2 linked regions of the Nothobranchius furzeri genome follow. The protein of the gene in region 2 purifies or fractionates together with the protein of the main gene of each other region. This does not show direct contact. Links are inferred from orthologs where the notes say so. Each region holds a gene or a part of one and is shown on either strand. Other genes may lie near its edges.

What was found.
Region 1: the proteins of AP-1 complex subunit beta-1 (region 2) and AP-1 complex subunit sigma-2 purify together in Homo sapiens (affinity purification with mass spectrometry; 3 studies listed by BioGRID and IntAct, counting the BioPlex papers as one, with this or other methods). This does not show direct contact. The link is inferred for Nothobranchius furzeri from reciprocal best matches to the Homo sapiens genes AP2B1 and AP1S2.

The regions. Positions count from the first base shown.
Region 1 is NC_091749.1:41,411,665-41,416,264, reverse strand, and holds the start of AP-1 complex subunit sigma-2, read right to left. Parts: upstream 2,823-4,600; 5' UTR 2,716-2,822; coding exon 2,713-2,715; intron 2,270-2,712; coding exon 2,091-2,269; intron 656-2,090; coding exon 547-655; intron 444-546; coding exon 306-443; intron 155-305; coding exon 107-154; 3' UTR 1-106. UniProt on the Homo sapiens protein: Subunit of clathrin-associated adaptor protein complex 1 that plays a role in protein sorting in the late-Golgi/trans-Golgi network (TGN) and/or endosomes.
Region 2 is NC_091750.1:66,899,430-66,903,248, reverse strand, and holds part of AP-1 complex subunit beta-1, read right to left. Parts: intron 3,342-3,819; coding exon 3,149-3,341; intron 2,704-3,148; coding exon 2,662-2,703; intron 495-2,661; coding exon 339-494; intron 262-338; coding exon 116-261; intron 24-115; coding exon 1-23. UniProt on the Homo sapiens protein: Component of the adaptor protein complex 2 (AP-2). Adaptor protein complexes function in protein transport via transport vesicles in different membrane traffic pathways.

The sequences.
Region 1 (4,600 bases), on a different chromosome or scaffold from region 2:
CAGTACACTCATGGTGGTTATACAAACACAACACTGACACGGTAAATGAGGAGAAGACACAATGGAGGCATGGATGTGATCAGATCAGTGTGAGAAGCAGGGGGATTTATGTCAACCCAATTTCTTCTAAGACACTACGTGGGGCCTCTGCTTCCTGTAAGAGTAAAGAGAAAGTATCAGGACACCTGTCACACATTTTATACATAAAAATATCAGCGTTAGCCACAAAGTCAACACAAGCTTTAACTTGCAAAGAAGACAGCTTTCAGGCACACGGTGATGTGGTGTTTAGGAAATGATCGTACCTCCTGCAATAAGTCGGCTTGCTCGATGGCCTTCAGCACATTCTTTTTGGATGTTTCCTGGGCCTCTCCGCCCAGCAAGAACTCATCCAGGATAAAATAGGCCTTCTCAAAGTTGAAGATAATATCAAGCTCACACACCTATAGGACAAAAGCACCATATAAAAAAACTACAGAAGGTCAGGGAAGATTCCATCTTTGCAGCTTCTCAGCACTACAAATGTGTAATATTTGCAAAACTCACGCTGCCAAAATATTTGTCCAGAAGCTCCACGTATCTATGGATGATTTCCAGGGTGATCAACTCGTTATCTTGATCCTCAACGGCGCAACAGAAGTACAGACTGGCATATCTATTTATGTATGAAGAGAGCAGACATGCAAAGATCAATAATAGCAAAAAGGGTGGGACAGCATTTGTATTTTCACAACTTACATGCATGTTTGTAATTGTTAATAAAATGAAATCCTAAAACGGTTTCTCACATGATCCTCTATGGCACAAATCAAGCAGCTGGATTCCTTACAAACATGTCCAGATGCGGCCACATGACTCCCATCCTGAATAGCACTGGCTTCCAATCTGTTTCCGAGTTCAGTTACATGTTTTAACTTTTGTGTGTGATGGCTGTAATGGTACAGCTCCCCCTTTAGAGCTGATCCTGTCCTATGTCTCCTCCACATCTTTGAGGTCTGCAGATCACCTGCTCCTGTGTGTCCCTAAATTGCACTACAAGTCTCAGGAGCAAGTAGGGCTGGGCGATATGGCCTCAAATCTATATTGCGATATAATCTGAAGCATGTGCGGTAACGATATATATTGCAATATTTTTTTCCCCTCTGTTAATACATGTCAAATTGACATGCTTTTAAATATCCTCATGTGACAAATATATGCCACTTGAGGCATATAGGCCTCCTCCTCCGCAATATCGCGGTATTGCGATATAGCCAAAAACACTATCATTAGCCAATTTTTTATCATTTCTACCTGATATCGTTTATATTGCCCACCCCTAGGAGCAAGTCTAATTTGCCAATCCTAAACTCTAAATTCACTCGTTACATGTATGGCAGGCCCCATTAATAGCCCGTTTTAAGTCTGTTCTTAAGGCCCACTTTTATCATTTATCTTTTGGTCAGTAATTAGGTTTTTCATCTTTTACCATCTGCCGTGTATGTGTGTTTTATTGGATTATGTTTTGCTGCTCACGTGTCTTCATTATTGTGTTTTTGCTTTTCAAAGCCCCTCCTCTTTTAACCTCCTTGTTCATGTGGTGCATTGTTTTAGATATTATACCTTGCTGTGTTTCTATCAACTAGATGTGATGCCGTAATGTCAGACATTGTTGTCTGTCCTGTAACTACGGAGCATCCTTGTTCCTTTGTGAAGTACTTTGGTCAGCTGTCACGATGTTTTTAAATGTGCCATTTACATAAACACGGTATGTATGAGCTACTTTAGCCAACTTTTTCTAGACTATTTCTGAATTTGCTGATGAAGATGCAGTTTTTAAAATAAATCTATAAATATTTTAACATGGCAACAAGTAACAATAAGCATCCAGTTGAAAAGACTTTATTCTCACATTAATGTTTATATAAATTAGCTGTAGTGAAAATCATAGAGAAACGTTTTTGTTTTTGCAGGTCTCACTAAATTGATGTGAAAAAGCCTGTAAGTGAATATTTTAAGCAGATTATGGTCAATTTGAGGAAAAACAGAAGTGTGTGCATGCATCATCAAGTGTGAGGGTACTTGAATGCCCTCTAAAACTTTTAACTTACCTTTTGTACACAATCTTGAGGTCTCTCCATTCCAAGAAGCTGCACATCTTGGGCTTCCTGGCCAGAATGGTCTGGACCAGGTCTCTCGAGATCTTCTTCCTCTCCTTGTCAGACAGAGGAACATACCATTTCTGTAACCGCAGCTTCCCCTGCCGGCTGAACAACAGCATGAACTGCATCTGAGGAAGGAATAATGATGGTCGACATGTAGATACAAATAAATACGAAGAACAAAGGAAGACTGGATGTTTGAGGGTATATGGATGCGGGAAACTGAACTAATCACGCAGCAATGAACGTGAGGCAAAAAGTCAGTGAAATTAGATTTGACTGAACTGTTTACTAGGATACATGGAGGTACCATTCGATCAAACGACTTTTAGACTCAGTACATAACACACCCGTGAGGCTTTAACATAACGTTAGATTATCTCACGTTAGCTAAGGTCGCTTAATTGTCCTATTTTAACATCTAAACCACGTTTCGTGACATTTGCACCCCCTCCTGCGACGCCTGCTTAGCTACAGCAAACGAGACTGAATACTCATGACTTTTAATTTGGTCTGCAAAACAGTGACTTACACGAACTGAACTTCAGTACAGTAAAGTTAAAAATATTACCATAGAGAGCCAAAAGACACTTCTATCTGTCAGATGATTAGTTCCTCCTTCTGCTCGATGCTAAACTGCCTAGCGAATGCTGGGTGTGAGAACAAGCGCAGGGATTGGTCAACACAGCAAAGATTCTGCAATGTGATTGGTTGAAAGGTTCCGTTATTCCTTACGTTGTACGTCAATCCAGAAAACATTTTTGTATCAGAGGTGCTGAATTTCACTTCCACCAGAAACCTAAATGTGTTATTTTAAAAACAACAAGAAACAACCAAACACACAAGGAAGCGAAGACTTTTTTTAGAGTTAAGCAGCTACATAGATGCGCCCACAGTAATTTCCTATTAATGAGTAAAGTAAAATTAACAGTTGTGAGGGGCAGAGTCTCTCTCTCTCTCTCTCTCTCTCTCTCTCTCTCTCTCTCTCTCTCTCTCTCTCTCTCTCTCTCTCTCTCTCTCTCTCTCTCTCTCTCTCTCTCTCTCTCTCTCACACACACACACACGCTCGCACATTGGTTTTCTTTTCAGATTCTTCAATTGTAAAACCGACCTCTGCTGGACTTTCGTCGCCCTCAAGTGGCTGGCTGTGGTATTACAAAACAACAAAAGTCTTCAAAAACGTGTCATGGTTGTTTTTCTAATGTTTGTGTTAAAATGTTTCACTTAAAATATGTCTCTATTTCGGCTCTAAACAAATAATAGTAAAGATAATTTTGCATATAATAAGAACTATTCGAAGAGAATTTTCATAAAGAAAGTCTCGCAACTTCAATGTACAACAACAACAATCCAAAAACACTTTGATTAGAATATACTTTATTGATCGCACAGTGGGGAAATTCACTTGCTACAGCAGCGCACACACTTGGAGAAAAAGGAAGAAAACAAATAATAACAAGATTACAGGTAAACACACAAACGCAATAAGCTGTTATTGAATACTTCATCCACTAAAAACAATGAATAAAAATGAAAATTGTGTTTCCAGAACTATACAGCACAAAGGACACAGACATATTAAAGAGCAAGTCACCCCCTACCAGAGTATTACTCCACTCCCACTTCCAGTTTGAAAAATGCTACAAATGCTGTTGCCTAGCAGACTGAAAGGGCGGAGCCACCAACAAATATACACACATACATTTCACACAAATCTGTTAAAAACAGGGTCATTGGCCCAGGTTAATGGTTATGTGATCTGATGGAAAAAACATATTTTAATATGATGATGTCAAATAAATGAATTTACTCAGTAAGGTCCTGACTTTTGAATGAGCAAGAATGATCTTTAGCTTGTTCTGTTGCAGGTTATTTAGAGTCATTACAATTTAAAAATCCTATTGAACTTTTCGTGGAGCTCAATTTAACCATAAAGTTATCCACAAAACACAATCATACGATGCTAAAAATTTCAAAGAATAAAAGTCACAATTACTGTTGTGCAAAATTACAGCATCAGTATCATGAAAGATAAATCAAATAAATAACCAAATAAATAACGTAATATAAAGAAGTGATGAAATAAATAAAATGTATTTTTCATCATCAATATGATTATTATCATATATATTCAGTGCTTTGTAAAATAACATACCCTTGATTTTTACAGATTTTCACACCTTACAACCTTGTGAATGTTTTTATTGACATTTTCTTAAATAGACCAACACAAAGTAGCATGGAACTGTGATGTGGAATACAACTGATGCATTGTTTTCAAAATTTGAAGAAAATCTAAATATCTTAAGTATGGCATGCATTTCTAACAACCTGATAGCCATAAATAAAATCTAGTGCATTGAAGGAGTGGCGGGGTGCCTGATCGATGACATGCTTCTGTAATTAATCATCTACTGTACACATGCATGAACAGCTGTTAACAAAACATGCATCTTACT
Region 2 (3,819 bases):
GGCTGGTGGGGATCATCCCAAAACTACAGGAAAGAAATAAACCAAATGAGTGTGTCTCCAGCTGTGAGTTTCTGACTGAAATCAGAGCAGCAGGTAGGATTTTTTTGTCATTAACCTATTCTTGTTGAACTGGATTGCAAAATCATTCATGTGCTGCAGAGCCTTGTTGGTGAAAGACATGTCCATGTACATGTGTCCCTGACGACGAGAGAAGGTTCCGGAGATCTCCAGTCCCTTTGCTTTAGCTGCAGGAAGCCACACCTGTAAAAGCCACCACACAAGTCACCTCTACCATTTAATGAAACGTACACCTCTGGGATTAGGTTGTGTTCACTCACTGCTTTTTGCGGTATGTAGCCTCCGGTGGTGGTGGCCATGCCCGTGGAGAGTTCGAACAGGTCATTGAGGCCGCTGCTGCTGACAGCTGGAGGTGCGGGTGTGGGAGATGGAGCAAACGTACTGGGGACAGATGAAGGGATGAAGTTTTGCCCCACCTAAAAAAAATCACACAAGAACAGAAACAAAAAATAAACACATTTTAATTAGCAATTTTTTGGATGAAGCACCTCTGGCAAGTTTGATTAATAAAAACTGCTAAAAGCTCATTAAACAAATCCCACACAGAACCTTAAAGCAGCAATCTGGAGTTTTCCCTCCTTTCAGGAATTATGTAAGATTTTTTTTTTTTAGAAATCTGTAGAAGTGATATTCTTACTCTGATACAATGTAGGTAATACAATTTTTGGGTAAGCCCTTCCCCCGTCCCATAGAGACCCATGGAATTTGAATTGAGCACTGCTTAGCACTAGCCAATAGCGTGACCCCGGGTTTCCACGGGAGCCGTCAGCAGCACGTTACTGCAGCAGCACGTCTTGCTCGCGTAAACTGCTGCTTGGCCCTTCCCACGAGACGCGAAGCAGCAGGGGAGCAGCTGTCACCGACCGAGCACGAAGTCACACGAGTGACTTTGTCAGTAAACACAACAACAAGCAGGAGAAAACTACAACATGGTTTGTGTTTTATGTTCTGTCCGTTTTATAATCGCCAATACTGACCTGAAAAACAAAGGAGACCGCTAGCTAGGTGATAACTTCTCACGGGGACGCACTGTTAGTAACCTTTTTTAAAAGTAAAGCAACCGGAAAGCAGTACGTTCTTTATTCTGAAAATCTCGGTAGATTCTCTCCATTTCCGTGTCCGATTTCCTGTCTTTCCTTCCCCAAAAATGTCGAACTTGACCCGTTTCAGAGGCGTCACGCGTAGAAAATAGAACCGGCGCGTAAAGGCCGCGACATGCTGCTCCTGAGACGCGGCCGACTCGCGCTGCCGACGGCTCCAGTGGAAAAGGTTCTGTTGACCACAGCAGTTCCTATCAGCAGCTATGACGTGCTGCTGCAGTAACGTGCTGCTGACGGCTCCTGTGGAAAGCCGGGGTGAGACATCCACTTACCTACAGATGTCAATCACAGAGCGTGCGAGAGTGAGAGGATATCCCTAGACAGATGCAGAGTTGGCACTACTTACAGTTAAACAGTATATAGTAAAGTCTACTGGTTGTGCAGCACCAGGCTAAAGACCAAAGGTGACAGATCATCTGCTGCTGTGGCCCCCAGACTCTGGAACTCTCTCCCCCTGAGCCTGAGATCAGTGGACTCAGTGGTCTCCTTTAAAAAGCAGCTGAAGACTCACTTGTTCAAGCTGGCATTTGTATAACCTTCTTCACCACTCTCTCTTTATTCTGCTCTCCCCACCTATTCCACCTTCCTCAGGATCCACTGATTTCCCTCTTTCCTGTTCACTCTCTCTCTCTCTCTTTCTTTACATTTTTTTAATCACAATTGCCTATTTTTGCTCATTTTAATATATTTTAAACAATTTCTAAATGCTTATTTATATTTTTACATTTTTTGTTTTTGTGAAGCGCCTCGTGATTTTTATCTTGAGAGGCGCTATAGAAATGGTATTTTCTTCTTCTTCTACTTCTTCTATATATTCTGCCTCTAGATGGTGCACTATGAGGAAAAGCTCCAGATTTCTGCTTTAATGCTCAGAAGGAAGGAGGAATGTTATTATGAGAAGCTAATGCTACTTAGAACAAAAACCAGGCAGGTAACAAAGAACGGTGTGTGTGTGTGTGTGTGTGTGTGTTTTAGCCCATTTCCTGCAGAACTATTGGCACCCGAGGCTAAATCACTAGAGCTCATTAAATTAGATTTTCAGAAAAGTTCAATTATTAATATATTGTGGATTAAAACAAAAATTATAAACAAAACAGAACATGATTAAGATAACCCAGCTATTCATACACATGGAAGCAGCTAAATCAAAAGGCTTAAAGTCGGGAAGGAACCGCTCAGCTCCTGTTGCTGTTTTTTATGTTTTATGTAACAATTACATGAATTTCTGAAACCAAATATGCTTTTTTTTTTTTTTTTTTTTAATAAAATTTTGTCCACGAACTAGACTAGAACATTAATTAGATGGATTCTCCTGTAATGGGTTAATTCATTTTCATTACCAGTAAATGGGCTGAAACATTACAAGCATGCATGTAAGTGTGTCATCCACAAAAAGCTGAAGGTGTCAGCTTAAGAGTGTGATGATGACTATATTCAGGACGCGTGCAGCATGCAGACGGTCAAACAGAAGGTCTCCACTTACTGCTGGACTTCCCCCAACACCTCCGCCCAGGTCTCCTCCCAGCTACAGCCCCCCAAACATCGCAGACACACCGAACACACAAACAAAAACAGAGAGAGACTTTCTTAGCGACCAATCAAAAGGAACCTCTCACTGCGTTCTGGGAAAATACTAAATCTCTGATGCATCTATAAAAAATACTCTGGAAGACATTTAGATTGCAGCCTGAAACAAGCTGGTGTGAGAAGAAATTTCTGAATATTATTAAATTATAATTATCTACAGTAGATATTAACTCATATATAAGAAGTGTTACACCAGATATTTTTATTTTAAAACTGAAGGACTAAGCAGTAATAACTACTACTAGTGTTTCCTCCTCCAGCGGACAGTGTGTGTTCATTACTGTATTTCTAACAAAACCAGGCTGTTGCTGATGTGTCATTTGAATTTGAAAAGACAAATGTCTAATTATCTGGATTCACTGTAAAAATCAGCATGAGCTCACCAGACTATCCAGGCCTCCACCCAGAAGATCCACCGCACCCATCTGCATGGAGGACACTTGGGGAACATTGACTGGAGGGCCCAGGTCCAGGTTCAGCAGGTCACCCAGTAAGTCTCCCTGACTGGGGATCACGTGTGGCTGATCCATGGCAGTGGCCGGCCCACCGCTCACGGGGCTCTCACCTGTGTCGATGCTGTTAACAGGAGAAAGGAGCAGACAGACAACCTAAAATCACTTATTTACGATAAGATTCAAAACTAAAACTCCAACTTCCTACAGTCAAAGTAGGACATAATTCACATATAATGGCCAATACAACAACAAAGTACTGTGGCTCTAAGCAAATGCTGTGAAAAGAACTTTTTCTTTAAGTTTTTATTGGAAACCTGGATTTCCTGTTCTGCAGATCAATTAGTGAAGCAGATGTAATATTAATACGGACTGAAGAGCTCCTGCGTTTAGATTGCTCCTTGAATTAAAAAAGCAGGGACCAACATGTTGAAAGTTCTCCAGAGATGTCATAATATTTTTGAATCCTTAAGTACATAAACCGTTTTAAGGTGTGGAGGCAGAGATGTCCAGAAAACTGGATCAGTGTTTTTAAAGCTCCCTCATCGTTGAACAAAGTTAAAATGCTTTCTGGTGAATAATACGAGGCGCATGGATGTGTG